Tamandua tetradactyla: one gene and its partners. The protein of the gene in region 1 interacts with the protein of each later gene in a pairwise test. Links are inferred from orthologs where the notes say so. Each region holds a gene or a part of one and is shown in the gene's direction. Other genes may lie near its edges. The genes, in order: BAG3, ENTREP1, HSPB1 and SF3B4.

Region 1 (7,787 bases):
GGCCTGGACCTTTATACATAACCCTCTGTACACAAGCCATTGGGAGGCTTCCAGACTGCTTGGGGAAGGCAGTTTTCTTCAACTGAGCCAATCCCCAAAGGGGACTGACAAGGGCGCGTAGTCTTCCTGCAGCACTTTGCAACTGTGGGAATAAGACTTGCATCACAGCCTCCTCCCAAAGATTAAATGAGATCATTGACATAAAACCTTTAACAGAGTACCCAGAATACAGTAAGCACACTCAGTAAATCATAGCCATTACAATTTTCATTGTTGTTTTTACTATTATTTGCCCCCCATAATAGATGGTAGAGAAACAGTGGAGATGAAGGGTCTGCCCCTGACCTCAAGAGAATTAATCCATGACAAATCGGACAATCAGACAAACAACTGCCATGCATGTAGCTGAAAGGGTGACACAAGATTTGCACGAGAGTACTTAGAAAGGACACAAGATGCAGACTAGGATGAGGGAAGGGATGCCAAAGACTTGAAGACCAAGAGGAGTCAGGCCAAGGGAGTGGGAGGTAGATGGGGGTGGGAGAGAAGGTACCCAGGTGGAGGAAGAAGCGTGTGTGGAGGCAAAAGAAAGCGCAGGGTGTGCATGATTTAATTCAGCAGGGTGGGTACATAGTGAACACTGGGGATGGGGGTGGAGGGGGGAAGGACCTGGGTACACCAGGCCAAGGAGTTTGGACTTTGGTATACAGAATGCAACCAGGAGCCATCAAAGGATCTACTCAGAGAAAGGACACCACCCATTTTGCGCTTGAAAAAGGTCACTGTGGCTTCCTTGTGGGTCATGGAGGGGAGATGAACAAGACTTGAGGCTGGAGACCCATTAGGAGGCTGCTGCTGGAATCCAGATGAGAGATGAGGGTGAACTGGGCCAGGCTGGTGGCAATGAAGATAGAGGAGAATTGACAGAGTCAAGGAACATTTAAGAGGTGGAGTCTACAGACTTGGTGATGATTGGATAGTAGGAGAGAAGAAGGAATCCAGGGTGAAGCTCAGGCTGGGAAAATAAACTTCAGAAATCTTGGGGAATGTGTACCCTAAGACTGGAGAAATTGCTACTTTGATTTAAATATATATATATATAACATAGTGTGATGGTTAGGATTATTTGTCAAGTTGGCCAGATGATGACGCCCAGTTGTCTGGTCAAGCAAGCACTGGCCTAACTATTACTACAAGGATATTTTGTGGACTGAAATTATCAGTCAGTTGATTGCACCTATGGCTGATTACATCTTTGATCAACTAAGGGGGGTGTCTTCCCCAATTGGAGAATCCAATCAGCTGGATTTAATTCAGTCAGTTGGGGGGCTATTAAGGGAGAGGTGAGACTTCAGCAGTCAGAAGAGAGAACTTTTATCTCTACCTCAGCCAGCCAGCCTCTCCTGGAGAATTCATTGAAAACCTTCATCAGAATTGCCAGTTTGCAACCTGCCCTATGGAATTTGGATTCCTGCATCCCCACAGTTGTGTGAGATACTTTGTAAAATCTCATATTTACAGATATCTCCTGTTGGTTCTGTTTCCCAAGAGAACCCTGACTAATACACATAGTATATAATGGATACTATATAATGTAATAAATAACATAAACACACAAAGTAGACTATACATTCCCTAAAGGGAAGAGACCATGGTATGTATTCAATAAAAGTAATCTGGTTTGTTAGTTATCTGAATTACCAAATTTTGTAAAATAACCCAACTATTTTGTATTCAATTTTACCTTTCTTAGATGGATGTGAAGGTACTTTGCATTCATCATTGTGAATATTTACTTGTCTTGTGGAACTTTATAGCTATAAAGGACTAAGCTAAATTAGGGCTACCCCAAGGCATGCTGGATGGACTTTTGGAATCATTAACTGATATCATCTCATTCACTTAAGCATTTATTAAGCAACTTTGATATGCCAGGCACTAGGTCCTGATGATACCAAGAAGAATAAAAGCCAGTTCCTGCTCTCAAGGAGCTCACAGTACAACAGAAGACACAGAAAAAGAAAACAATTCCTGACTTTTTAACAGGCATACGACAGAGAACTACACAGAGTGATTCTGGGAAAGGCAATACCCTTAGACTGGCAATATCAGCGTGTTTTTTGTTTTTGTTTTTTGGGGTTTTTTCCCCCACGAAAATAGAAGAAATTCTAGTTACTCAAGCTTTGGAGTTAGTTGATTTGATATGTAATCCCTCAGATTATTCCATAAAACAAACAATACCGTGTTCCCTTTCTCTCTGTAAAATAACTTACCAAGTATATTGTGGTCAATAAGCAATACAGTAAGTTCTTCCAGGAGAGACAGGATGGAAAGCAGGACTCTGTCTCATTTGGTGGCAAGAAACCCTCTAACCAAGTCTCCCCATGTAACTCATCTGGTTACATCTTTCTGAACTCTGGAGCAGTGGCTAAAGCTGATGGGAAAATCTGAGCAAAAGTCAAGACTCACTGTCTGGAACTCGGTGAAGAAATACCCAAGTTTTATTCTTTTTTCTGGTCTGTGTATCTGAGGCCTCCCATTGAGGCTATGTCACAGGCTTCTGGATTAAGACAGAGGTTACTCTTACCAGTGAGAAATTCTACAAGAAATCTGTAATAAAGCATAGCCTGAAGAAACTTCTAACCAGCTTTTAAGACTCAGGGCTCTGTTTTAGACAAATCCATAAGTCCCTCGTGGCACACAACCCTCAGAAGCAATTAGGTTAGTTCCAGAGAAACTTGCTTCCTCCCTGCTTCTGTCTAGCAAAAGAAGAAAAGGAAAGGAAAAAAAAGATCAGCAAAGAATGCCGTCAGTACTTAAACTCACACTGTAGTGGAAAGTAAATTGAGCAAAGGAAATAGGAATAAAAACTCACTTTGGATTCCTCTTCAATGAACATCAACATTTACTGAATATGGATTCTGGACCCAGCCTTGTGCTCAGGGCTTCAGATATGAAGACACATTAGACACCACGAGTGACATGAGGGTCCAGGGCCTTCAACAGTAATATTTCTCATGGTAAATCAGTGCATGGCATTCGGGTTTATACATCAGTCTCTTGTATGTTTGGTGAGCCGACACAGTCCTTGTAGTCTAAATCACCTGCATGTTTTCACAAAATTGAATTTTGGGACTTCAAAGCTGCTAAGTATACCTTTGTAAGTGGTGATCATTCCACTGGAAATGATTGATAGGCCTTCCTAGCTCTAGAAGGAGTGAGCTAAGCATAGGGAGAGGCAAGGGGGTCTCTTAGAGTTCCAGGATATTCTCTGAATCTGAGTTGGAAAATTGGGCCTAACATTAGTCCAAAAAAGCTTCCCAGTGAATGAGTCTGCATGCCCAAAGATATAAAATGGAACCTCCCAAACATTCTCTTTTCTGGGCAAAGACCTCCCAGGTGACTCAGGGTGCTTAGTTGAGGTTACAAATGCAACCACCTTTTAATCAACCGAACAAATCTTTTTACTGGTAAAAAAGATTTGGCCCCTACTTCCCAAATAGAGGTCACAATTTGCAATTTTATCTTTCAATCTGGTAGCAAAAACCAAACTCTACTTTAAAAAAATAATAAATTAGAGGGACCAGGATGGTGGAGGGGTGGGGAATAGGTAATTAAGGCTTGGGTACAGCTCCTGTTAGGGTGATGTCAAGATTTTGGCAAGGGACAGTAGTGATGGTAGCACAACATTGTGAATGTAATTAACACCACTGTATTGTATACTTGAAAGCGGTTAAAGTGGAAAATGTTGGGTACATGTTACCACAATTTTTTATATGTGACTTTTCTTTAGAATTGTTCACTGCAATGAGAGTTTCTGTATTTGAGACATAAGATTCAAAGAGAATAAAACCATGGTTTTTCCTTCTTCAGGTTTCAAAAAAGAAGGCAGGTGAGTTTCCATGGCACTTACATTTTCTGCCTGACTTTGTTGATGGTGTCAGAGCAGTCTTCCAGAACTCCTCCCTATCAGTCCCCGGGCCCCAGGAAAGCACATGATTTTCCTAATATCAGTGTATTGGGGCGGGGGGCAGCGGGGGGGAGTGAGAGAACTGTAGCTAAAAACCACCCAGAAGGTTCACAATGCCTTCGTTTCTATACGAAGGTGGGGCAGCCGCCACGCAGCGCGGACTCCCACCCCTGCGAGGAACACCCACGCGGCGCAAAGCAGTCTGAAAACCGAAACCGGTCCTGGGGACACCGGAGGACGCCCCCGGGCGGGGCCCGCGGACCCAGCTGACCACCAGCAGGCGAATGTCGCGAAGGCGTCGTCGCTCACCCCCGGGCGACCTCTGCCGGGCAGCCCCAAGGAGGGAAAAGAGGAGGAAGGAGGGCTCCGGGTGGGAGGAGGGGCGGCCGGCCCCCCCCCAGGCCCCGCCCCGAGGCCCCGCCCCGCCGCGCCACGCCGCGCCATGATTAGAGCCGATGACTCAGGGCGGAGCTCCGCATCCAACCCGCGGGCGCCGCCAAGTTCTCTGGATGGGACCAGAAGTTTCTACCCGGCCAGTTGCTACGTCCCTTTATCTCCTCCTTCCCCTTTGGCAGTGAGGAAGCTATTTCCAGACCCTTCCACCCCTCTCAGGCCACGTCACCCCCTCCTTTAATTCATAAAGGTGCCCGGCGCCGGCTTCCCGGACACGTCGGCGGCGCGCAAGGCTCACACTCCGGCGGCGGCGAGGTCCTCGCAGCGGCGGCCCAGCGACTCGGCGCCCAGGAGGCCGGCACCCCGCGACCCGGGATCCCGCGCCCCAGCCCTCGGGGACCCCGCACTCCGCGCTCCGGCGGCCGCCACTCCGAGCCAACCCCGCGCCCAGCATGAGCGCAGCCACCCACTCGCCCATGGTGCAGATGGCGTCCGGCAACAGCGCCGGCGACCGCGACCCGCTGCCTCCGGGCTGGGAGATCAAGATCGACCCGCAGACCGGCTGGCCCTTCTTCGTGGACCACAACAGCCGCACCACGACGTGGAACGACCCGCGCGTGCCCCCCGAGGGCCCCAAGGTGAGCCGGACCCGCGCCACGCCCCGGCCGGCGGCCCCACCTCGACGGGGGAACAGGCCCGGCCCGGCGGCGGCTGGACTGGGTTGGGCGAGCGCGGGGCTGGCCCCAGCTCCCAGGTCCCTGCACCGGGGGTCGGGGCATCCCACCCCGAGCTCGCCCTGCTGCGCTTGGCCAGGCCTTGAGAGGCGTGGGGGTGACGGAGTGCCCCGGAGAGGTCAGTCCTCACCGCGCCGCGTTTGATTTTGCGAGGGGATTGAGGGGGACGGGGAAGTGCGACCCGGGACGGGGTGGAGGCATGGGCGTCAAGAGCTGTCCCCAAGTTCCCGGGCTCGGAAGGGGCGGCGGGCCTGGTCAGCGGGAGGCCTGGGCCCGGCCCTGCCGCCGGCTCTGCTCCGCGTCCTGAGATAGTCGTTACTGGAAGGTTCTCTCATCCGCCGACCCCTGGTGCCTGGGGGATGGGCTTTTCCGAATTTCCCCCTCTACTTCTGGACAACTTGGTTGACAGTTATTTTGACCTTACTCTCCCGGTTCGCGGACAGAGTGACTCAGGACGCTGATATAAGTAGTCTCTTTTTTTTTCTTTTTAAAATTACTGTTGTATCGTTGTTTGAGGATTTTTTTGAGTAACATTGAGTTTCAGTGTGATTTGTTAAAAACAAGATGCTGTTCTTCCAGGCAGTTGGCCCTTCCCTTAAGACTTCGCCTCAACTGGAGAGAAAGAGAATGATGATTTTTGTTTGTTTTAATGGTATGTGTTCCCTTCCTTGTAATGGCATTAAAATATTTAGGATTTGTTTCCCATACACAAATAACTAAGTAATAATACTTATATACAGCAGAAATATGCTTCATCTAAATACATGTAAGAGTATTTACTTCTTAACCCTTAGAAGCATGACAGTTTTTATACATTTGGTAATTTAAAAAATTATAATTAGTTGTATTGAAACAATTTTCTACAAATTAAAATTTTTCAAAATAGAACGTTTGCAAAAAATAGTGTACTTAAAGGGTAACTTAATATTGTCTGTGCAAAATAAAAGCAGTAGAAACTGGTAAATTATTTTGAAGATTTAAAAAGTCACAGTTAAATATGCTTTGCAAGGCTTTATTTTAGAAGAAAGACCTTTATGATGTTCTGCACCTTTTTCCTTTAAAATATTGGTAAAACTCTCGTGTCCAAAAGTGATGTATCTTACACTCAGCAGTTTACATTTACAAGGAGTTAATTGCATCTTTATTTCTGAAAATTAGATCTAGAAGGTGTAATTAGCTGGGTTGGACATAATTATATGCACCTTTTTGTGTGTTCTCCCTGTAGAGATGGGCTTGTTAGAAGCTGCTGGCACCCTTTGTTTTCAGTGAAGATCAGGTTTAAACAAACACTGGGAGTTCAGTATGAGACCCAAATTGCCAGCACTTTGTTTTCAACATGGAACTTTCTCAGGGAGTTGGATTGCTTGCTGCTTTGCTTCCCGTACCCGCCGGGTGGATGGGTTAGGCTGTAGTTTCATAAAACTTCTTGAGGAGAAGAAACAGACCGAATTACAATAATTACTTTAAAAAATACATATAGAAAGTAAGAGCTACTAAATCAGAAGTCTGATCCTGGGAAAGGTTAAATACAATGTAAAATGCACAGTGAGCAAAGGGCCCCAGCTAAGAGGACATTCCAAGCATCCTCACCTTTAAGAGGAAGTGTTGTCAATCAGAAGCTATTCCTTGAGCATCTGCAATTTGGGAAGTACTTTTTCTGCAAGGACTCAGCTTCAGGATGTTTAGGGTCTAACCGTGTTGGTAAAGAGGTGGCTTTCATGGAAGGAAAAGACTAGAACTTAGTGTTTTATTTAGTCATTTATACTCCATCTTCTCACAGCTGACTGTACCACCTTCCCCTGAAGTGGTTAGAGTGATTCTTTCACCCCCGTTTTTCAGAGGAGGCAGTGGAGGTCTGTTTTACCCTTCATTGCAGAGCCGGGAAGGTTCGAGACAAAGGTGTTGAGTTTTATCCACCTCCATTGTAAGCTGTGGCACCTCCCCACCTGCAGTTTTCTGGATTTCAGTTTTCTACACGCTTGGGCTTCCCACGAACTGCCTGACAAGTTCCTATCAATCCAGACCCCTTTCCTGGCAGAGAGGTTGGCATTTGCTTAGGAATCAGGAAACCACTCTTTCCTGGTCTCCTCCCTGAATAAAACAGGTTGGGTATCTTGGAGTATCGTGCACAAACCTCTGGCAGGAGAAAGAGACCCTCCTCTCTCAAGGACCAGTGCTGCGAATCTCCAAATCTTAGAGGTCGTGAGCACTGATTTCCAAGCCTGGCTGTGTCTGGGGGAGCCTTTTAAGAACACAGATTGCCTGCTGCGTCATCAGCCCCACCCTGCTCCCCCCATCTCATCCCTCCAACATGTTTAATCTGAATTGTTCAGGGTGGGGCTCAAGAATCTCTGAATTTAAAATGCCTCCCTCAGGTTTCTGTTTACCACCCTGGCAACAGGGAGCCCCTGAAGGACTGTGATCCCCGTTTTGTAGAAGAAGCTGCTGCTTACTGTGCCCCTGTCTGTAGACCCTGGGCTCCTTCCCAAGCAGTACCTGCTTAATATCTCCCCGGCAGAGCTTTGCTTGGCGCCGCTTTTCTTGGTGAAACTCGCCCAGTGCCTGGTGTAAGGCTTTGGTGGGTGTGAGTATGCAGGAGGCGTGGTGAGGGAAGGAAGACAGCACCCCACAGAGTCTGGCAGGGTGGCTGTGCTGGGCATAGGGAAGTGATCAGACAAGATGTGGCATTG
Region 2 (7,968 bases), on another chromosome or scaffold:
CTGATTTGTCTATCTCTGCTCAGTGTGCCTTCCTCCTTCCCTCCCTCCCTCCTAGTGTGTGGGTTTATAGAACAATCATGCATAAAAAGGGATTCCCATCTTCTAACACCCTGCATTACTGTGGTTCATGTGTTATAATTAATGAAAGCATATTTTTATAAATATTAACTGTAGTCCATGGTTTAACATGGTTGTGTTGTGCAGTTCCATGGATTTTTTTAAAATTCTAGTACCATAAATACAACCTAACATTTCCCTTTTTAATCACATTCAGATACATATTTCAGTGCTGTTAATTATGCTCACAGTGTTGTGCTACCATCATCACCATCCATTACCAAAACTTTTCCATCATCCCAAATAGAAAGTCCACATTTTAAGCCTTACCACCCTATTTCCTATTCCTACCCCATCCCCTGGTAACCTATAGTCTAGATTCTGACTTTTGTTCTCTTAGTTGTTTTTTTTTTTAAAGCTACACAGTTCTTTCCCTGAAAAGTGTAAACAGTAATAATTGAAATCACCACTTACCCATCCTCCAATTCCCTACTCACCCCAATCTCTCATCAACATAGTACATCGTGAGAAAACGTGAGATCATGGAACTTGCAACCTTAAAGTTTACAACAGTGAGTTTGGGGTTTTGTCCTTGATATTTTGGCTCTGTAAATTTATTCCACACTGTGATTCACCAGCTTTTCTAAATCCCTGTTCTCTTGCTGGTAATCTGAGAACATACTATGATGGAGAGGATGGCTGACATTCAAAATGTCAGGCCTTCAGGACTCCAAATATTCAGCTGGTCCAGACTGACCCAGCTGAAGTAACACAAGCTGTCATTGTACAGATGAGGCAGTTGAGGCCAGAGAAGCTAGTGACTGGTTCAGGGTCATGAGTTGAGTTGAGGCTAGAACCCAGCAATCGTTCCTCTCCATTAGAAAGCAGTGGTCTCACTAATCACCTGGGCAGCAGTAACTGGCTAGTGACAGTGTTAAGAAATCTCCCCTCCCTTTGTATCCAGGAAAATGGCTTACTGCAAAGAACCACTCTTTCCCGTATGACTTCCAAAAGACTCACAGGTTTCTCCTTGTTTACCTATAAGAAGGCCAGACACAGACCCTCCAAATTTCCATTCTTTGCCTTATAAATGAATAGTTGAACCATTGGTTCCCACTGATCACTGGGAACAAGATGCTCGTTAGCCAGACTTCGGTTAAGCTTCTCTTTTACCTCCAGATCCCTGAAGTGTAAGGGTGCCTCCCAGAAAATAGGCAACATAAAAAGCCTTTCCTTAGATCATGTGACTGTATCATCCTGCTTCCCTACACCTGGCTCTTTCCTCTCTATAAAAGAAAAACCCTCTTTGTTCATCTCTGGAGAAGCTTGCTAACCTTATGGTCAGAGTGTTCTCCCTATTTCAATAGTCCCCTCCTTCTATTGCAACAACCCTTTTCCCCCTTTACTATCATGCTTTTGAAAGTCTCTCTTCACCTAGTTCAGATTTGTTTTTTTATGTCTTCTGAGTTATCACTGGAGACCAGCAAAACTCCATCCCAGTAAATGTACATCTAAATTTGCTTTCCAGCTAAATCCCCCTATGTCTTCCCCTTCCAACAAAAATTTTTGCCCTTAGTCCCCTCCCATATGAAAATTCCTAGATAAAAATTCTGGAGATTGAATAGTGTTATGCACTATTGTTTCTTTGAATCTGTTAAAATGGAGGTTCTCAGGCCTCCTCTCCAGAGAGTCAAATTCCACAGCTGTGGGTGTGGGGAGAGACCTGTGAACATGCATTTTACCACGCTCCCTGCATAGTTCTGTGGTCTGTGGACCATGCTTTGAGAAACTGCTCCAGTCCACCCTACTAAGTGAGAATTCCTAATGCCCAGTAGGCCTTAACTCAAGGAAACTCTTCTCTTTCTGTAAAATTTGTTCTGAGGATGAAGTTTCTTCACAGCTGCCCACTCCCACAGCCTCCTTGAATTAGCTGAACAGTTTGGTCTTTTGAGAAAAGGTGGGAGGAAGTGAGGAATTTTTAAAAGGTGTCCAGGGAAACCTGAGCAAAGGAGCTCCTGTGTGGTAAAGACTTTGAGTGCAGTGATTGGAAAAGGAGGTACAGGGAGGGGTAGATTTTGTGGGAAGTATAGAGAGCCTGAGTGGAATTTAGCCTTGATCTTGAGGAAAACTGGCAGCTGTGTCTTCCATAATTACTGTTTTCCTTGAACTTTCACCTCAATGAAGTGTCTGGGTCAAATTTTCCATAGGCTTTTCCTCATTTTATTTTTTTAAGCCATTCTGAAATGGCTTTGAATCATTCCATAAAAGCTTAGTTGCAGACGCCTTATACAGGTATAACTAGGGACTTACTGTAAGTGAGTGTTTGAGAATGCAAAGAATCGAGCCTCCAAAACCCAAATCCTAATATTAAAGGTGTTATTTGGCATAATCCTAAAGATTGGGGCAATGTCATCTCATGTTTATGATAACCAGAAAAAGAAACTCATGGACATAAATGTAGAAAATCTACAGTACAGTGCAACAAAAAATAAGTACAGCTATTGAGTGAAACTGTCTATGGATTTCAATTACCTCCACTATCATTTGTTTCTGTATAGGGAAATACACATATAAAATTTTTACAAGTAAAGTACTTAGATTCCATGAATTTTCACACAGTTAACTTCAGTCATATAATTAGCACCAGAACAAGAAACATCTTTACCAGAACCCCCGAAACTCACCTTTCCAGTCACTATACATATATCATAAAATTTGCCATACAATTTGGTGGTATTAATTACATTCACAGTGTTTATGGCCATCATCACCATCCATTACCAAAACTTTTTCATCAACCTAAATCATAATTCTGTACCCATAAAGCAATAAATCTCCATTCCCCCTGCTCCTCAGGCCCCTAGTAGCCTCTAATCTACTTTCTGTGTTTATGCACGTGCCTATTCTAGATATGTCATATAAGTGGAATCAAATAATATTTGTACTTTTGTGTCTGGCTTATTTCACTTAGCATCGTGTTTTCAAGGTTCAGACATGTAGCATTTATCAGAACTTTATTCCTTTTTATGGCTGAAATAATATTCCATTGTATGTATAGACCACATTTAGTTTATCCATTGATCTGTTGATGGACCCTTGGGATGTTTCCATAATACATTTTTAAAAGTACATTTCAGATGTCAAGGCGTGTTCAGTAGAATAGATTTGTGATGCTGAGAAAATTTTTCAAAAGTTAATCAGAATGATTGTATTGCGTGGTGTATTAAATCTTAAAAATTAAATACCTTTAAGCTTACGTATGAAATAAAGGATATAACCTCAGCATACAAGAAGTTTTTATTTAATGACTTGCAATTTAAGAACATACACTGTAAGACTTTTTTAAGTGCATGAAACAACAAACTTAAACATTTATTTTAAGAGATGGCCCCCCTTTCCTTCAGAATTTGAAGAGCAGTTTGTAAAAGAGCTCCAGGGGCTATTAATCACAGGTACTTTAATAATTCAAAAACTGTATGCAAACACATTGCATATCGGCAATACAGCACATGTGTGTTGAAGTGATGATAAAAATAAATACAGCCTTTACAAACAGAGCATAAAAACGGATATGTATTTCTTTGGTTTATTAGGCAGTAGATGGTAAATACCCCCACCCCCACCCTACTGATAAGATGAGCTGCCTAGACTGAGACTGGCTTAGCTGCAAAGTGACACTGCTCTAATCTTATCTGGAAAAATCCATTACAATCATTTTAGGTAGGACGCTTTCAAGCATTAGAATTCTTCCAGGGAAAGAGTATTCAAGATCAGGGGAAATCATTTTGAAAAGGCAAAAAAAAATTTTTTAACCTCTAAAGATGTCTCCTAAATTGCCAAAAGTAGTTAAGGGCGCTGATTACAATTTTATTTATGTCCTCGGAAGTCTGGGATTCTGTGTTCTATCAGGTGATACCTAATATAGCTCATGAGTCAAGGCGAGGCCGACGGAAAGTGTAACCCTTGCCACGCGCTCCAGTCCGCCCTGGGATCTTTCTTTCTGGATTTTGGGATAATTCCAAGGTAATCTCGTCTTTTCAGGCGCGCGCTCCAACCTGACACCAGAAAAACCACGTCCTCCTCCTTCTGCCGTCCCGGCAGCTCCGCCGCAGGGAATATCAGAAGGTCCAGCGGAGGCGGTGTAGGAGGCCCAGCGACCCGCTGCCCGGCCACCCCCGCCACCGAGCGGTGACTTTTCGCAGCCTCATCCTTCCCGAAGCCCTGCGATTTAGATCTGTTCTCTTGAAGTCGTCCTATAGCCCCTCCTCCTGCCGTCCCTACTCCCGGGGAGGGCGGGGGTGGGGGGAGTTTATAGTCCGGCTCCCGTCGCATTAAAGGTTGCGGGAGTTGAACCCTCTCTTGGCTGGGCAGGAAGCGGGTCGAGGGTCCACAGCATTTCTCTCTAGCCCCAGCTCTGAGGGCGCCGGACAGACCCTTACACAGTTGGCCGTCAGCTCCGACGCACCCTGGCGGCGGGGAACCTCCTAACTGGAGGGACTTAACTTAAAAAAAAAAAAAAAGAAAAAAGAAAAATCTGGGGCAGGGCACCCTTTCTGGACCCCAGGGTGCAGGCCCGGCTTGGGCGATCAGACGAAGGCGGCTGCTCACTTGCCCGCCGCGCGGCGCGAGCGTAGGGCGCGTGTGGATGTGTGTGGGTGAGAGCGAGGGTGTGCCTGGGGCCGGCCGGAGGCGGGCCCGCCGGGCGGCAGGTGGGTGCGGCCGGCGGGAGCCGGGACAGCGGCGGTGGCGGCGGCGGCAGCAGCAAGTGGTTGGACTGTACGCGTTTCCTTCCCTCCCGCTCGGCCTCGGAGCTCGTCAGCGGCGCCCGGTGCGCCGCATCCGCGGCTCGGCTCCGCGTCCCCTCCCTGCCGGCGCCTGCTGCTCCCTTTCCAGCCCGTCCATGTCCCTGCCTGTTGTGCTCCCGGGCTCCTGCTGCCCGGTGGCCGGGCTCTCGGGCGGGCCTCAGGCTGGGGGCCCAGGCGCCGCGGCGGCCGCCGCCCAGGAGCCTCCGCTACCCCCGCTGCGGCCGCGCTGGCCCCGGGCGGTGCTGCAGCCCCCGGCGCGGCCTCGTGGTGCTGCGGCTGCGGCCGCCGCCACCGGGGTCCTAACTGCGCCGCCTGCGCTGTCCACCCGCCGGTCTGCCGCCGCCGCCGCCGCAGCGCGGGGCTCGGCGCTTCTGCCCGCTCGCCCGCTGCTGTCGCTCGGGCTGCTGCAGCTGATCCTGGGCTGCTGCATGGTGGCGCTCAGCTTCGGGGCGCTGTCGCTGAGCAGCAGCCCGCAGGTGAAGAACTCGTGTCCGTTCTGGGCTGGCTCCTCGGTGAGTGCCGCGCGCTCGGGGCTCATTTCTGCAGGGCCCAGGGAGCTCTGGCAGGTCCCCTACACGGCCCCTTGGTTGACCTCCCCCCATCCCCCCGCAGCCCCCCCCCCCCCCGGGCTGCAGTTGGGGAGCACAACCCTTCAATCCAGCTAAAGTTTTAGGAGTCACAGAGGCAGGAGAAATAGCCGACTTCAGGGATAAACAAGATTGCACCTGAGTATTTCTGATCCTCGCAGGCTACAGGGTTTTATTGCCACTGGCAGTCTAATAGAATAAAGGAAAGACCTCTAGTACTTTGGGAGATTGGAAGAATGGGGGTGGGAGACAGGCAGGAAACGCCTCCAACGATTGAGTATTTACTGCATTTACAGCATCCCCGTTGGGAGGGTGGGATTTTGGTGTATTTTGTTCGCGGATGTTTCAACAGTGCCTGGCACGTAGTAGGTGCACTTGTGGTTGGATGAACTGACAGATGAATGGGAGCGCATACCTTGCTTTATTTCTCATTGAGACCCACTTATATCTGAAATGTATCTGGTGTAGTATGGCTCGACTGCATTTGGGGACGATTCAGAAGGTAATGAAAGGGTGTAGGTAAAAGCGCGCCAGTACCTGATCATTAAAGCAGGGCCTTAAGCCCCTCACTCCGTTCTTGGAGCCACGCAGTCTGCTGCGCAGAGTTTTAATTCTCGGAAACCCCGAACCTGCCATTATCTGTGAGCTTGTCAAAGCTCCAGGAGCGCAGGGCAGCTAGCTGGACATGTCTAGTTCCGGACCTAACTCTGCCTCCTCCCTCCTCTAGTGGGGAAGGCAGATCCTGGAAAAAAGGGTACCCCGCCTTCAGAGAAAAGCTGCTGCAGATTCTATCTTGTGGACGGACTCTCGATGGCCACTCATCCTAGCTTCCCGATAACTTCACAACTCCCAGATGTCCAAACCCTTGAGGTTTGCCCCAGGTTGAGAGACTTGGAAGCAAGTCTTGGTGGCAGGATTGTGAGAGATAAATATTTAAAGTAAATGACCTTTCTATGAATTAACTAAATCTAAGAGTCTGGCAATGGCCATAGTTTTTACTATGATCTGTATAAGATCTGTAATGAATGCATATTCACAATATGTAAAAACTATCCTTTTGAGGATCCACATAAACCCAGGTTCACGACCACATTTTAATACTAGAGGAAGAACTAATATGAACCAAAAGTAATTGAGTAAGAACATTAGGTTCCTCTAGTCTAACCTGACATTTATTACTTAAACCAGTACCAATTTGCTCTCTTTTTGAAATACTTTGATGCTGGATAATCTTTTGGTACATGAGGCTGTATTTATGGTACAGTCTTCCCTGTCATGAGTGAAGTTCACAGTTTGAGCATCAGGGAAACACACTCCACCCTCATGGCGCTGCCCCGGGGTTTTGCTATTGTTCTCTGAAAGTAGGACTTAGATCCATTATACTTCCCAGACTAAATCCAGGCAAATGGTAGGCACATTTCATTTCTCTGAGTACCATGTGCGGGTAATGAATCTTGCATGTATTTTTAGGAATCGGCTCTTTGTAAAATCATAATCTATTTGGAATTATCAAAAATGATTCCCCCTCTTCTAAAACTAAAACCCCCAAATAGCTTTCTATCGTGAATTATTTCAGAGGCAAATGTACTTACATGTCACTCAAGCCACAGCTGGATTTGATAAAATATAAAAAAGGTCACCAGCTGCCGAAAGATGAAGGCCCACCAGGGTTTGCTAGCTGGGTGGGTCCTGATTCCCACTCAGGTAATACTTAGCAGGACTGGACCAACCAGAGTAAGGAAAGAGCAGTGATTTGGAATGGACAAGATCTATTATTCTTAGCAGTTCTTTCTTAAAACCTACCCCCTCTCCGCAGGTCTATAGGCAGTCTGGTAATTTGGTTATTCTTGTTTTTTTTTGTGTTGTTTCTGAGGTTAACCTCAAAATTTGCAAAGAGGTAGCAGAGCCAATAGATACTGTGTCTACAAAACAATTAAATACAATTTCAAGAGGATGGCTGTATGCACAAGGATTCTCTTGGTGTTTCAGTAAAAAAAAAAAAAAAATATATATATATATATATATATATATATCTCACCAGTAGCATAGGTTTTGAGTTTATATATGTCAGAGGTTGATTTTTTAAAAAAATTCTGTATTATGGAACAGAATTTAAATTTGCACAAAAACTGTACAATGAACTCTCATATACCCTTTACCTAGCTTCCACAATTATTTCATCTCCCTTCCTGGGTCCTGCTATTGACCTCTGTAAGTGTTCTGATAAACTCCAGAAAGATGGGCATTCCAAGACACATGGGAATTAGATCCTTCATGCTTCTTAGTCCATTTGTCAGATTAAATTCCTATATTATTTTGAAGCAAACAGACATCACATCATTTCATCTGCGAATAATTCAATGTGTGCTTTTTTTTTTTAACTTTTTATCTTGAAATAATTTCAAACATACAGGACAGTTGCATGAATAATACAAAACCTATACAGAGAACTCTAGCATACCTCCCCCCCTGCCCAGATACCCAGATTGACCAACTTAATTTAACATTTTGCCACGTTT
Region 3 (6,633 bases), on another chromosome or scaffold:
GGAAAGAGAGACAACACTTTGGAATGCATGTAAAATTAAAATTATGATTTGGATTGGGGAAAACTTCATCAAATAAATTAATTTTCTAATCCCCAATAAAAAAAAAAAAGAAGGGGAACTTCCCTAGGACATGGGCCTTTCTTACCAAGGAATCCTGAACCCTGGACACACCCTTCTGGTTTTGGGGTGTAACAGCATCTCCCCTGGCCTCTCTCTCCTCAGATGGGGGCCTGTGGGGACCCTCCCGCACCTCCTCTTTCCCCTCCCAACATACGCAGCAGCTAGGAGGCTGGACAGGGCTTTTCTGTTTCCTCTTTGCCTGGCAGAATTTTTCCCTTTCTTCTTAACCATCTTCCTGCAGCCCCAGACCCAAGGCAATGAGGCACAAGTGCCCGTGCCCAGCTAGGGTGTCCCAGCTCTGGGCCAGTGACCCCTGTCCCCTCCCTCTCTGAGATGCGCCTGGCCACCTGCTGCCCCTCTTGGAGCTGAGGATGCCCTCGGCAAAGGGGTCCCATCCTTCTCCAGGCCTCCCCTCCACCGGAGGAGGGCTCTCGGGGGGCCCACAGCCCGGGGGTGCCCCAGCCTCAGGGTCTCCCACTTCTGGCGCTGGGGGCTTCTCTCCCTTATCCCAAATCCATCCCAAGACAGGAATCTCCTCCCCACCTCCCGCAGCCCCTCCCCACCCCCACCCCCAGTCTCCTACAGGTTTAGGGAGGATTCCTACCCCCACCCTTTTTTCTCATCTTACTCTGATTTAAAGAGAAAGCAGCCCTAAATCACACCCAGGCGCAACAGGAGTGGGGGGTGGGGTGCCTCCACTCACTATATATACCCCCCCCCACCACTGCAGCATCAGACTGCAGAACAGGTCATTCAGGGGGCATGGGGGGAAGGAGGAGAGTGGAGGAAAAACTGTTGATTCATGGTTCTGGAAGGAGTCCAGTGGTCTCATTGTACAGATGAAGAAAATGAGTCACAGGGGGCCGGCCCTTGGCCAAGCTGTCAGAGTCCAAGACACCCCAGGTCCCCAGCCTCCCAGCTAAAGAGATTCTTTCTGCCTGACGGCAGGCGGGAGGGGTGGGAGGCTGCAGCACCAGTCTTCCCCACCGGCCCCCTGTGGTCCCTTCAGCAGCCTTGGGGGAAGGCAAGCAGAAGCCCAAGGCCTATGGGGTGGGGCAGGCAGAGATGAGCTTTCGGAAATAGACTCCCAGAGGCACACTGTCTAGACGCTTCTCGAAAGACCCATACAAACACACACACCATGCTATAATTACTACTGCTTGCATTGTCAGTTCCCAGCAGGCCCAGTGGACTGGCGTAATCCATCAGCTGTCAGGCCTCTCCAGGGAGATCAGACAGCTGCCTGAAAATTCTAGTACCTTCTCTGAGGCTGGGCCAGAGAGGGAGGGGCTGGCTCAACCACAATAGCAAAAGCCTGCCAAGGGTGTGGCTAGCATGCCCAAGGCCTCAGTGTGGGGGGGTGGGGGCTGGGGAGGCCGGGCATGGGGGAGGGGGCTGCTTTGGAGTGTTCCAGACTTTAGGAGAAGGGAAGAGAGGAGGGGCCACCTCCAATGCAGGAATCCCCAGACCCTACAGGGGGTAATGGGATGAGGGGACAACTATGACCTGTCCCTGTGGCTTCTGGGAAACCCTTGGGGAATAGAGTTGTCCTCTTTCTCACAGGAAAACTCCCCCTGGCAGCTCAGTGTCCGAGGACGCTGGAGTCACAGGTTGTCAAAGAGTTACTGGGTAGGTGGACGAGGGCAGAATGACATCCAGTCCCTGCTGCCTGCTAAGCCCTATGCCTGGGCACAGAGTACAGCCTCCTGGAGAAGTCTCGTGGTCAGAGCTCCTGGCCTGAGCTGGAAAGGACCACAGAGAACCTGGCCAAACAGGGAACAGGGGGTGCCCACCTCCTCTGCACCCTGGAAGCCCACAGCTCTCCCTGGGCTGCCTGGGAAGTTTCTCCCCTGCTGGACAGGGAATCAAGAGGCCTGAGTTCCAGTCTCTCCCCACCCATTACCAACTTTGTGAGGCAGGGTATGGGAACAATTCTGACCTTCGGTTTTCTCATCTGGGACTGCTAAGACACTCAGAAGCTGTAAAGCACATGCAACTTATTCTGTTACTATCCAACGTTAGAGACCCTCTTTCCTAAGTAACACTGGAAAATGCAGAGCTGGCAGGAGGAGAGTCTCAGCCCCAGGACAGGGGCAGCTAACAGAGGGAGTGTGGGAAAAAGAGGAACTGGGGGACCCCAAGCCAGGAGTCCCACAGAGATAAGAAAGAGCCCTGGGTACGAGGGAGACAAGAAGCTCAGCACTGCTGGTATTTCTTGGGGACAGTGGACATCACTTGGGGACAGTGGACATCATGCATTCGAGACCCACCGATGCCCTGCAAAATGGGTACATTTTGCAGATGGGGACATGTGAGCTTGCAGAGGTCACCAAGCCAGTCCTGTCTGACCCCAAAACCCAGTTTCTTACACCCCACACCCCACTCACCCACTCCCACGTGGCTCAAAGCCATCCATGTCCCCTCCCTTATGACTGGCAGCACATCTGCCCTGGTTTCAGCAAGATGAAGGGAGCTATGAAAAGGGCTTGTGTCTACAAAACGCTGGCAGCCAGGTAGGCAGCCCCCACCCAGAGCGTGGCTGGGCCTGGCAGGGCCACACTTGAAAGCACCCATGATTATATAGGGTGGGGTGCCCTGGACTCCAGTCTGAGCGAAGCTGGGCAGGCAGGGGCGGGTGAGGGCCCTCCTTGGCTACTGATCTCAGCCCGATTTTATAGAGCTGGGGATGAGTGGGGCTGGGAGTGCCAAAGAGCCAAGGCCTGGGACTTCCTGAAGCTGAGACCCTTGGGGGTGGCCTGTGGCTCCCTACTGAGACCCACTGGAGTCATGACATGATCCAAAAAGGGAGATGGGACAGAGAACGGGGTCCTGCCTGCCTCCCACCCTTGACCCCCCAGACCACTAGGAGATCAAAGGCCTTTCCAGAGGTGACCTCAGTTTTGTGACTCAACCCCAGCTCCTCTCTGCTGGGGAGCAGATGGATAAGAAGGAGAAGCACCTATGCGTCCTCTCTCAAAAGGGAAACTGAGACTCAGAGAGGGCATGAGACTTAATGCCCCCCCAGCCCATCAAGGAGAATGGCTGGGAGTCTGGCTCCCACCCCAGGCTGTCCCCTGAGTCTGGGCCTGTGCAGGCCAAGGGCTTAGTAGTCCCCTGCAGAGCTGGCAGGAGGAGAGTCTCAGCCCCAGGACAGGGGCAGCTAACAGAGGGGGTGTGGGAAAGAGAGGAATTGGGGGACCCCAAGCAGGAGTCCTACAGAGATAAGAAAGAGCCCTTGGTTTCCTCATTTAAAAAGTGGGGATAACTGGACTTAAGTCAGGGAGACGGAAGGCTGGAATGGGGTCACGCCTATGTAGGCAGGAGAAGGAGGATGTCAAGGGTATGGCAGGAGCCTATGAGCAGCCCCCTCCAGAAGTAGGATTTGGGGGTGTCGGGATGCCAAAGGATCAGCTAGAAGGGATGGGGTTATGGGCTGGGCCTCGGATGCCCAGCAAGTTTGAGCAACCACACTGCCTCGGGTTCCCCATCCCTTTGCACTGTGGGAATCAGAAGCAAGAGGCACTTGGAGCGTATAATATGCAAAAGGGGAAACTGAGGCCAGAGAAAGGAGAGGCCTTGCCCAAAACGACACAGTATATCAGCAGCAAAGGTCCGACTAGATTCAGGACTGCCGCCCTTCAGGTTGCCGGTCCAGTGCTCTTCAAGGAGAGAGAGACACAAGGGGAAGATTTGGCAGTGACCTTCCCCCTCTCTCCCCTCCTGTCATCAGACCCAGTGTTTCTGATCTGGGCCAGATCTGGGGGCTGGGGGCAGCGGGAGAATGGCCAAACCTGCACAGGCCACTTCCTCTGCAACAGGGCTGGGGCGTGGAGGAAAGAGAGTTTCCCACACACTCTCCTCCAGCCTCCTCCTTTTCTTCCATTCCCGGTAAACAATAATAATGAGTAATTATTACCTCCTGCCCCGAGCTAAAATCTTTCCTCACACCAGTCCAATGACGTCAGCATTATTGTTATCATTAATTTCTATTTTCCAGATGGGGAAACTGAGGCACAACGAGTCTGACGTGCACAGGTCGAATCAGTGAATGGTAAAACCACAGTGGGAACGCAGGCAGACTCCTAAAGGCTATCCCGAGTGCTTCTTAAGACATTTCACACACAGCCCGTGGCTCTAATGCTGGTTCTGCCACTCGCTGGCTGTGTGGTCCGAGACAAGGGGCCTGACCGCGCTCAGCTAGCTCCGTCCAGGGCTTTACCTCCCGGGCCTGCGATCGGTTGTCCGGAGGCGGGCAGTGCGCCAGCCTGGGCGCTCAGGTCATTTGTTTTCTTTACCGAGAGAAGTTTCCAGATGTGGGCAGGACCTTCCTCGTCCCGCCCCCGCAGCCCCCGGACGGTAGGAATGCAGGGGGCGGGGCCGCCCCCAGCCAGTCCTTGCCTTTAATAGAGACCCGAGACACCGCCTGCTAAAAATACCCGGCCCGAGAGCCATAAAAGCCCGGCTCACCCCGCGGCCCCGCACTTCTCGCAGCCGCAGCCCGACGCGCCGAGCCAGCATGACCGAGCGCCGCGTGCCCTTCTCGCTCCTGCGCAGCAGCCCCAGCTGGGACCCGTTCCGCGACTGGTACCCGCCCCACAGCCGCCTCTTCGACCAGGCCTTCGGGCTGCCCCGGCTGCCCGAGGAGTGGTCGCAGTGGTTCGGCCACAGCGGCTGGCCGGGCTACGTGCGGCCGCTGCCGGGGCCGGCGGTCGAGGGCCCCGCGGCGGCGGTGGCCGCGCCCGCCTACAGCCGCGCGCTCAGCCGGCAGCTCAGCAGCGGCGTCTCGGAGATCCGGCACACGGCCGACCGCTGGCGGGTGTCCCTGGACGTCAACCACTTCGCCCCCGAGGAGCTGACGGTCAAGACCAAGGACGGCGTGGTGGAGATCACCGGTGAGCACCCCCCACTGCCCCCGGAGGGCGGCCAAGTTAGGGGGCCGAGCGCGGGGCCTCTGGCCGGTCGACCCCGGAAAGGAGAACTGGGCCGGGGTGGGGGTGGGGGTGGGTGCCGGGAAAGTGACTGGAGGGGCCTGGGGAGTTCCGAAGTGGCCGAGGGCCGGGAGGCAGGAGCCCTGGGAGTTGGTCCCAGCCTGCCGCGGCCGCCTTGGGCGTTGGCCCAGCCCCCAGGCCTGGAACCTCCTGTAGGGTTCTGGGACGGGGAGCCCTAAGGGCTTTTTCAGCTCTGTTAGGGGTAGAAACGCCCTTTTCCTGGGGAGACGCTCCATCTCACCCCGCAAGTAATCAGATCTTCCTGCGCCCACCCATTGGGTGTGAGCCGCTCTGTTCCTGTCCCTAACCCGGCCAGTGCAGGGGGCGTGGCCCCACCGCTTCAAAAGGCATGAAACGAATGTTCCAGAAGTTTCTAAGGCCCGGGTGAATTGGGCTGTCCAACCCCTTCAGTCAATCAGCTCTGGCCTCGGGGGCCCTCTAGAGAGCAGATGACAGCCTGCCCTGGGGACGATGGGGGGTGCGAGAGACAGCCCCCCCCCCCCACCCCCAGCAGCCTCTGACCACCACCTCCCCACAGGCAAGCACGAAGAGAGGCAGGATGAGCATGGCTACATTTCGCGGTGCTTCACCAGAAAGTACACGTAAGTTTGGGGGCCAGACGGGAAGGGAAGAGGTCCCCAGGGAGGGGGACCTGAGAGGGCGTGCAGTGTGGGTGGATGTGTAACTCTTGCCTTCTTCCTGTGCGTGCCCAGGCTGCCCCCAGGTGTGGACCCTACCCAGGTCTCCTCCTCCCTGTCCCCTGAGGGTACGCTCACCGTGGAGGCCCCCGTGCCCAAGCCGGCCATCCAGTCTGCCGAGATCACCATTCCTGTCACCTTCGAGGCGCATGCCCAGCTCGGCGGCCCAGAGGCCGGGAAGTCGGAGTAGCCTGGAGCCAAGTAGAGGTCTTGGCCCTGCCCACCCAGAGTCCTTCCCAGCTGTCCCTGCCCGCCCACTGGATGCTCTTTTGATACGTTTTCTTTCTGTTTAAAATAAAAGTTGGGATTATCAGAATTTATTAACATTAGTGTCACTAAAGTTGGTATACAGCTCCTCACTGCTGAATTTGACTGGCTTTTTTTTAAAAAAAAGTAAAAGAAAGTTGGGAGAACTGCCCACCACTGCCTCAGACTCGGCGTTGTGGAGCCCTTGGGGCAAGTGCCACTTGCTCATGCACAGAGAGTGATTAAGAGAAGCAAATGATTGTAACCAAGTGATTAACTCAAGGGCCAAGTGCAGAACTAGGGGCACCTGACTCGGCCTTGCCCACTCTGGTACACCTAGCCTGGGGACAGGTGAACGGGGACAGCAGGGCCTGGGGAGACCAGCTTTCTGGGAGCGCACAGTCCTTTCTGACTTCACTGTCCTTGCAGAGAAGCAGGACCACCCAGAAGGCTGGGTGGAGGTGGGGTGCAGGCTGGCAACTCCAGGTCCCTTGCTGAGGGGCATAGCCTAGTCCCCTCTCCCCCAGGACCCACCTGTACAGAACGGGGCCTGGGTTCTCAGCGCCCCAGGGTGCCCTGCA
Region 4 (7,283 bases), on another chromosome or scaffold:
CTCCTTAGAAGGAGAAGGGGCAGGATCTTGGAGTCTGCCTCTATCCCACCCCATGATCTATCTCTACTCCCTTCCCTCAGGATTTTCATTCTTCCTTCCTTTCATCCCCTGCCACTCCAGGTCTTGTCTCCGAAAGGCAAGTGACATCTCAGTCTTAGTGACCGCCAGGGTTCGCTCTGTTGTACTTCAGGGTGAGTTCCTTGGGTCATCCCACGCCACACTTTTCCTTTTTCCTGTGCCCACCTAATTGGATTCTACCCAGGGAAGGAGACCCAGAAGGCTCCCTTGTCTCCTTCTAGTGTAAGCTTTCTCCTTTGGAGTTACTGTGAAGTACCTATGAGTTCTCTCACCCTTCAGTGCTACCTCCACCCTCCCACTATAGCTGTGTTCCCTAACACTAGGATTCCTGGCCCCTCCGCTCCCTCCTTTTATCAGTGGATGGTTAGGGTGGGAAGGGCAATGTGGAAGTTAAAGAACTGTGATTCTGCTTCCAGCTTGTGAAGCTGGATTTTTCTAATGGGGTGGAGTCTATGAAGTGAGTTATTCAAGGTCTTTATTTTCATTTTCTTTTCACTTCTTCTATGTGCCCTCTCAATCCTGCTTACCCACAACTTTTCACCTCTGTGCCTCTCATTTCTCCTTGCCATGTTTCCTCTTCTCATTCTCTCCTGCCCTAGTTTCTTGGTCCTGCTTCTTTGCCCCTTCTCCCTTTTTTATCACCCAGAGCGCGGTGATCGTGATTTCAATGGCCTCCTCTCTTCACTCGTCCAGCTGCTTTCAGTCCCTGAAGCTCGAACACTGCTTGGCTTCCAATCACTAGTGCAACGAGAATGGGTGGCAGCTGGACACCCCTTCCTGACACGGCTTGGGAAAACTGGGGCCAGTGAGGAGGTGAGGATTTGGGGGGGGGGGTTCATTTGGGGGTACTATTAAAGAAGTAAGGGGATGAGAAAATTATAATCCATTGGAGGAAAATCAGATCACAAAGGTTCTAAGATTAAGCTCAGGCAGGAGGGAGACCCAGATGACTGAGGCTCCACAATCCCCTACTACCCTCAATTCCGATTTCCATTCCCTGACCTTCTTAGTGCCCCTTGTTCCCTGTGTCCTCATCCTCCATCATTTTGCGATCTTGCCTCTTTAGGTCCGATTATTCCTTCCACACTCTCAATTTCTCTCTTCTCAGGCCCCAGTGTTTCTCCTCTTCCTTGATTGTGTCTGGCAGCTCCTCCAGCAGTTCCCAGCTGAGTTTGAATTCTCTGAGTTTTTCCTTCTTGCTCTTCATGACAGTGTCAGGGTTCCTGACACCCTGACTTTCCTGAGAGATACTCCCTGGGAACGTGGAAAGCAGGGTGGACAGGTAAGTGACTGACATTTTTGACTTGTCATTTTTTTACCCCATTGAGAATTACTCTCTGAAGTTGAGCCTTAGTTATTTTATAACAAGAGAAGTGAGGTCTGTCGGTGGGGAAGGGGAGGGTGATGTTCACTTAACAGACTGGATTTATGCCCTGCATCTGATTCCTGGCATAAGAGTTGGGTTTCATGATTTCTCTCTAGATTTGGGAGAGTTATATATTTTTTTGCTTAATCATCCTTTTCTTTTTTTTTTTTTTTTCAAACTTCCCCTGTCCAGTTCAACTCCTATACACAAGTCTACACCCCAGGATACTCCCAGCCCCCAGCTGGGAACTCTATTAACTCACAGCTGTCTGTCTGGGACTGGGATTTACGCTACAGCAATAAACAAATACTGCAATTCCAAAATCCTTGCTATGACCCAGAGTACCACCCAGATTCCTGGCTCCCCAGGCAGCAGGTGAGTCATCTAAATTTCCTGAATTCCTTTGACTTTCCCAGACTCATCCTAATAGGTAAGGAAGTGAGAAGATTCACTGAGTTCCCCTGAGGAAGTTATCCCACTCCTCCTCTACAGCTGTCATTTATGGCCCCTGACTGTTCCCAGGAAGACATAAACTCTAAAATATCATAGAGGACAGCCTTATTATCTTTGTCCTCATCTTTGATTTAATCTTCCTCTTATCCACAAATTTTACAAGTTTCTCTAAAAATCAACTTCAGTCATCTCTGAGGCCTAGTTTGAAGCTTAATGAGGAGAGTAAATAGAGTTCTCAGGGGACGATTTGTAGTTTCAATCGCTAGTGCAGTGAGAGGGGCAGCTCAACACCTCTTCCTGACTCAGTTTGGGGAAACTGAGTCAGGAAGGGGCCATAGAAACTGAACCTATAGAAACTGGATCATTTGGTTTCTAGGTTACCAATTGTTTTCCCTTTCCCCTGTAGTCAAGTTTCATGGTTCCTGGACCTCCAAGTTCTGTATGGCTTTTCTCTAGAGGGGCCCTGACACCCCTGAATCAGCTCTGTCCTTGGCGGGACAGTCCTTTCCTGCTGGCAGTCTCTTCTCGTTGGCTCCCTCGACCTGCTATCTCTTCTGAAAGCCTAGCAGACCAGGAGTGGGGTCTCCCCTCACATTGGGGGGCTTGCCCTTTGCCCCCTGGGCTGCTGCGCCCTGGATATCTGGGACCCCAGATCAGGCTATGGAGACGCTGCTACCTGAGGGGACGGCCTGAGATCCAGGTGAGAAAAGAAGATAGCAATTGGGAGTGGGAGAAAGGGCTTGACTACGGGACTAGATGAACAGGAGCTGGAAAGGCAAAGAGCTGGGGTGGAGTGGAAAGTGAAGTACCGTTCCTGCTGGTATCAAACTGGGCAGGTCTGGGAGTGTAGGGTGTGGGAACACTGCTGTGGCTTAGATAAAATAGAGCCTTAGGGCTCTGTTGGCAGAGAAAAGAGAATTAAAGATAGCAGAAGCGGACAGGTCTTAGAAACAGAGTGTGTAGAGCTGCAATATTTCTCTCTGTCCCTTTGCCCTCTCCCCAGGTTGGCCTCTCAGCCCCCACAGTCTGTGGCCTCCAGGATGAGCTATCTCATCTTCAGGAGCTATTAAAAAAGTGGACACCAAGAATATCTCCTGAGGATCACTCCAAGAAAAAAGAACCAAATTCCATTCTCACCCAATCCCATTGAAATTGCTGACTCTCTCACAGGTAGGACACAGCGAGGTCCAGGATGAGGGAAGGGTTCTGCCTAATCCCTCAGTTTGTCTTATCTGATTTTGGGCTTCAGTTTCCACACTCCAGCCCTTTAAAAAGCCAGTAGTGTCAAGTTTTTATTGCAGGTGGGTGGTGCTAGCCTTCTCCAACTCTTATTCTGCCCTGTTTGATTCCTAAAGACTTAGTTTTTATTTCTTGTCATTTGAGAAACTGAAAAGTAAAAACAAAAACTATCAAAGCAATACAGAAGGTGATTTCTGTTTTCAAGGCCAGTCTACCCCTCTGGGATAGCCAGCCCTTAAACTGACAGATCAGAGATGCTACTCAGTCCCAACAAGATGGCCTAGAGATCTCATTGCTACCCCCTCTTGCTTCCTCTTTAATTCCAATTACTATTTCTTTTTTTTTTTTTTTTTACAGTTTTCCATGGGAATGGGAGATACCCTGCCACCTCGAACTGTTTATATTTGTAGTGACATTTCTATTTAGGGAATTCATTAAAGCACCGTATTTATACACATTGCTGGAATTGTTTTGTTTGAACAGGTAGCAAACAGTGGTGGGTGGAGGGTGGGTGTGACTCGGGGGAGGAAGGGACTCACCATATTATCGCTAAGGAAAAAGAGAACCGGATCAGGTGAGGCTCTGCAGAATTCCTATGCTACTGAGGAAAATGGTTTTCTTCTCCGTGCCTTAGGGGCAGGTGGAGCTAGAGCCTGGAACTAATAAAGATGCTGTTACTGGGGCCCGGGCTTCGTCACGCCCCATCACTGAGCCTCAGGTTGGCCAAGAACGACACTCCCACCTCAGAATTTTGCAGTCCCCTCCTCTGAGGGAAAACGAAATACTTCAAGCCCAAGCCGGGACTGTGCGAAGGTTGCCTTCGCGTCCTTGGGTTGGTGGGGGTTCCGCAACACACCCTCTTCTGGGGAACGGATCTGGCCCCAACATATATGAAAAGGCTTGTTTCTTTAGATTTCGTATTTACATTTTCAGGGAACAGTTTAACCCTTTAACGCCTGGCACAACCTCAACTGGGTCTGGACATCCCGGTTTTGGTCATCCGGGAACCGACGCTCGCAGCGCCTCGCAGCGGCACCTGGCGCACGACAGAGAACACGAGCGAGACCACAACTCTCAGCGGCTCCTAAGATGGCCGCGGCCGCTTCCGGCCCCTCCGCTGTGGCCCCGCCCGCCGCCTCGCATCACGTCCGCCTCCGCCCCGGAAGTGGAAGTGGTGGGGGTCAAAGGGCGGGGCCAGTGTTTGGAGACAGCAGGAGCGCCTTCGCCATGGCGGCCGGGCCTATTTCTGAGCGGAACCAGGGTGACTGGAGGGGACGATCCCGAAATGGAGCGAGCGGGGCTGGATAGCCCCGACGTGGGCCAGCAGGGGTTCCGCCGGGGCGGATGATTTGTTACCCCCGGAGGGCGCGGGGCCGAACGCCAGGCCTGCTGGGGGGCGGGGGGTCGGCCGGGTGCCGCTTGGGGCCGGTAGGCACGAAGCCTTGTATGTCCGTCTATTCCGCTGCTGACTTTGTTTGCATCTAAGAAACAGCACACGTACACGTAGAATTTTCAGCAGAACACAAGTTTGATTTCAGAAGATTCTCTCAGTCCTGGGAAGAAGAAGGTTTAAGGTTTAATCTAACTCTAACATGATTTTTCTTTTTCCTTCTGTTGCCTTTTTGCTCCTATCCCCCAACCCCATTCCCAATCCCTCTGCCTTGATTCTATCGCATGTTCCTGTCACCCCATTTCCTGTCATTCTCACGCCCCCACCCTAATCTCCAGATGCCACTGTGTACGTGGGGGGCCTGGATGAGAAGGTTAGCGAACCGCTGCTATGGGAGCTGTTTCTCCAGGCAGGGCCAGTGGTCAACACCCATATGCCAAAGGATAGAGTCACTGGCCAGCACCAAGGTGAGTTACAAGGAAAAAGATGCTGGGAACAGACCGCCCCTGGCAACACTATAAACACTGTTTTGGGATGAACAGCCTGAAGATTCCTTTTCCTTTTTGTTCCTGGAAGCTTTTCATTGAAGTGAGATTTTTATTTTCTTTTTTGTTCTTTGTGCCTTGGGGTGGGGTGAGTTACATCTCATTTTGAATCTCTTCTCTTCAGTAGTTAACCTCTCTTCTTTTAAACTCCTCAGGCTATGGCTTTGTGGAATTCTTGAGTGAGGAAGATGCTGACTATGCTATTAAGATCATGAACATGATCAAACTCTATGGAAAGCCAATACGGGTCAACAAGGCATCAGCTCACAATAAAAACCTGGATGTAGGAGCCAACATTTTCATTGGGAACCTGGACCCAGAGATTGATGAGAAGCTCCTTTATGATACGTTCAGCGCCTTTGGGGTTATCTTGCAAACCCCCAAGATCATGAGGGACCCTGATACAGGCAACTCCAAGGGTTATGCCTTTATTAATTTTGCTTCATTTGATGCTTCGGATGCTGCAATTGAGGCCATGAATGGGCAGTACCTCTGTAACCGCCCTATCACTGTGTCCTATGCTTTCAAGAAGGACTCTAAGGGTGAACGCCATGGCTCAGCAGCTGAACGACTTCTGGCAGCCCAGAACCCACTATCCCAGGCTGACCGCCCTCACCAGCTGTTTGCAGATGCACCCCCTCCACCCTCTGCCCCCAATCCTGTGGTATCATCATTGGGGTCTGGGCTTCCTCCACCAGGTAAAGTTTTTTTTGTTTTTAAATTAGGAATAATTGTAGGTTTATAAAATAATCAAGCATTAAATACAGGATTCCCATAAAATTCCCCTATTATTAACACCATGCCTTGGTATGGTACATTTGTTACAATTGATGAAAGCTCATTTTTATAATTGTATTATTTACTAAAATCTGTAGTTTGACTTAGGGTTCACTGTGTTGGGCAATTCACTAGGTAAAGTTTTTCATTGAAAATATGTTTGGTGAGGTGTGGGGCACAAGGGAAAAGAATTGGAGAAAGGGAGACGGTGAGTCAGTGGGTGATTAGAAGGGAATTGGGGGTGATGGGTGTGGTGAGGAATTTCTTTACAACTTTCATTGCTGGATTCCTCTAGAAGGTTGAAGTTGTTTGAATCTAATGCTCCGTCTGACTTTAGAGAGCTGGGTAGAGAGGAAAAGCAGTAAATGTGCCTAGAGAGGCCAGCTTAGGGCATTCTCTCCCTACTACCATTTTTACCCTACTACCATTAACTCTTTTTTTTTTTTCCATTTCCTTTACAGGCATGCCTCCTCCTGGCTCCTTCCCACCCCCAGTACCACCTCCTGGAGCCCTTCCACCCGGAATACCGCCAGCCATGCCCCCACCACCTATGCCTCCTGGAGCTGGAGGACATGGCCCTCCATCAGCAGGAACCCCAGGGGCTGGGCATCCTGGCCATGGACACTCACATCCCCACCCATTCCCGCCAGGTGGGATGCCCCATCCAGGTAGGTATTCTCTGCTGGGAAAGGGAGGGATGATCTTGGCAGAGGTGTGCTATTTCTCTGTCACCACTCTTGTAACTGCCCTCTGTCCCTCAGAGCACTCCTTGTCTTTTATTTTATAAAAACATCACTCCTTGTCTTTTATTTTATAAAAACTTCATTCTGTTTGCCTTAACAACTACCATCCTAAAATTACCAAATCTTGGCGACTTTTCTGCTCCTTATCTGACTTGACCTCTGCTGTATTTGAAATTGGCCATGTCCTCCTGTTTGAAATTCTTGTCACTTTTGACTTCTGTTTTTCTGGATTTTCTATCTGTCTGTCTGACTCCTCAATCTCAGCCACTTTAAATAGGCTCCTTTTTCTTTGCATGTACCTAGGTTTTTATCCTTGGTTTTCTTTTTCTCCACATTTCCATAGTTTCGATTACTTACTCACCGATGCCTCCTAGATCTTCATCTGTATTCCATGGTTGTTGACACACTGCAGCCCCTGATCTTCTTGCTGCTTCCTGAACAGCTCTACTCTTCTATCCCTTGGGCTCCTCCACCCAAACATGATGAAAACTGAGCTTATTTTCTCCACCTCCCCTTCAAACCTACTCTTCCTCTAGCATGATTTGTTTTCAGATGTTTAATTCAGAAACCTGGGAGTCATGTTTGCCTATTTCCTATCACTCTGCTCTTAATATCAAGTCTTGTTAATATCTCTGGCATCTACCCCCACTGCCAGTAATCTAGTCCAGGCCCTCATTATTTCATACCAGCTT

Evidence for each region.
Region 2: the proteins of BAG3 (region 1) and ENTREP1 interact in a two-hybrid assay, tested with the Homo sapiens proteins (2 studies listed by BioGRID and IntAct). The link is inferred for Tamandua tetradactyla from reciprocal best matches to the Homo sapiens genes BAG3 and ENTREP1.
Region 3: the proteins of BAG3 (region 1) and HSPB1 interact in binary tests that used the Homo sapiens proteins (3 or more experiments, as listed by UniProt). The link is inferred for Tamandua tetradactyla from reciprocal best matches to the Homo sapiens genes BAG3 and HSPB1.
Region 4: the proteins of BAG3 (region 1) and SF3B4 interact in binary tests that used the Homo sapiens proteins (3 or more experiments, as listed by UniProt). The two-hybrid records come from large-scale screens. The link is inferred for Tamandua tetradactyla from reciprocal best matches to the Homo sapiens genes BAG3 and SF3B4.

What each region holds. Positions count from the first base shown.
Region 1 is NC_135339.1:82,090,669-82,098,455, forward strand, and holds the start of BAG3 (BAG family molecular chaperone regulator 3), read left to right. Parts: upstream 1-4,779; 5' UTR 4,780-4,815; coding exon 4,816-5,001; intron 5,002-5,174; exon of another isoform or gene 5,175-5,215; intron 5,216-5,249; exon of another isoform or gene 5,250-5,746; coding exon of another isoform or gene 5,747-5,749; intron 5,750-7,787. UniProt on the Homo sapiens protein: Co-chaperone and adapter protein that connects different classes of molecular chaperones including heat shock proteins 70 (HSP70s), e.g. HSPA1A/HSP70 or HSPA8/HSC70, and small heat shock proteins (sHSPs), e.g. HSPB8.
Region 2 is NC_135328.1:99,190,848-99,198,815, forward strand, and holds the start of ENTREP1 (endosomal transmembrane epsin interactor 1), read left to right. Parts: upstream 1-4,957; coding exon 4,958-5,374; intron 5,375-7,968. UniProt on the Homo sapiens protein: Functions as an activator of the E3 ubiquitin protein ligase ITCH in the ubiquitination of the CXCL12-activated CXCR4 receptor. Thereby, triggers CXCR4 endocytosis and desensitization, negatively regulating the CXCL12/CXCR4 signaling pathway.
Region 3 is NC_135349.1:10,412,022-10,418,654, reverse strand, and holds HSPB1 (heat shock protein beta-1), read left to right. Parts: upstream 1-4,454; 5' UTR 4,455-4,636; coding exon 4,637-5,012; intron 5,013-5,646; coding exon 5,647-5,710; intron 5,711-5,821; coding exon 5,822-5,996; 3' UTR 5,997-6,126; downstream 6,127-6,633. UniProt on the Homo sapiens protein: Small heat shock protein which functions as a molecular chaperone probably maintaining denatured proteins in a folding-competent state. Plays a role in stress resistance and actin organization.
Region 4 is NC_135330.1:5,899,225-5,906,507, forward strand, and holds the start of SF3B4 (splicing factor 3B subunit 4), read left to right. Parts: upstream 1-4,273; 5' UTR 4,274-4,363; coding exon 4,364-4,397; intron 4,398-4,406; exon of another isoform or gene 4,407-4,710; intron 4,711-4,864; coding exon 4,865-4,993; intron 4,994-5,226; coding exon 5,227-5,769; intron 5,770-6,309; coding exon 6,310-6,516; intron 6,517-7,283. Other genes in the region: MTMR11 (myotubularin-related protein 11), read left to right, coding at 121-191, 725-891, 1,187-1,360, 1,637-1,819, 2,304-2,597, 2,901-3,047. UniProt on the Homo sapiens protein: Component of the 17S U2 SnRNP complex of the spliceosome, a large ribonucleoprotein complex that removes introns from transcribed pre-mRNAs.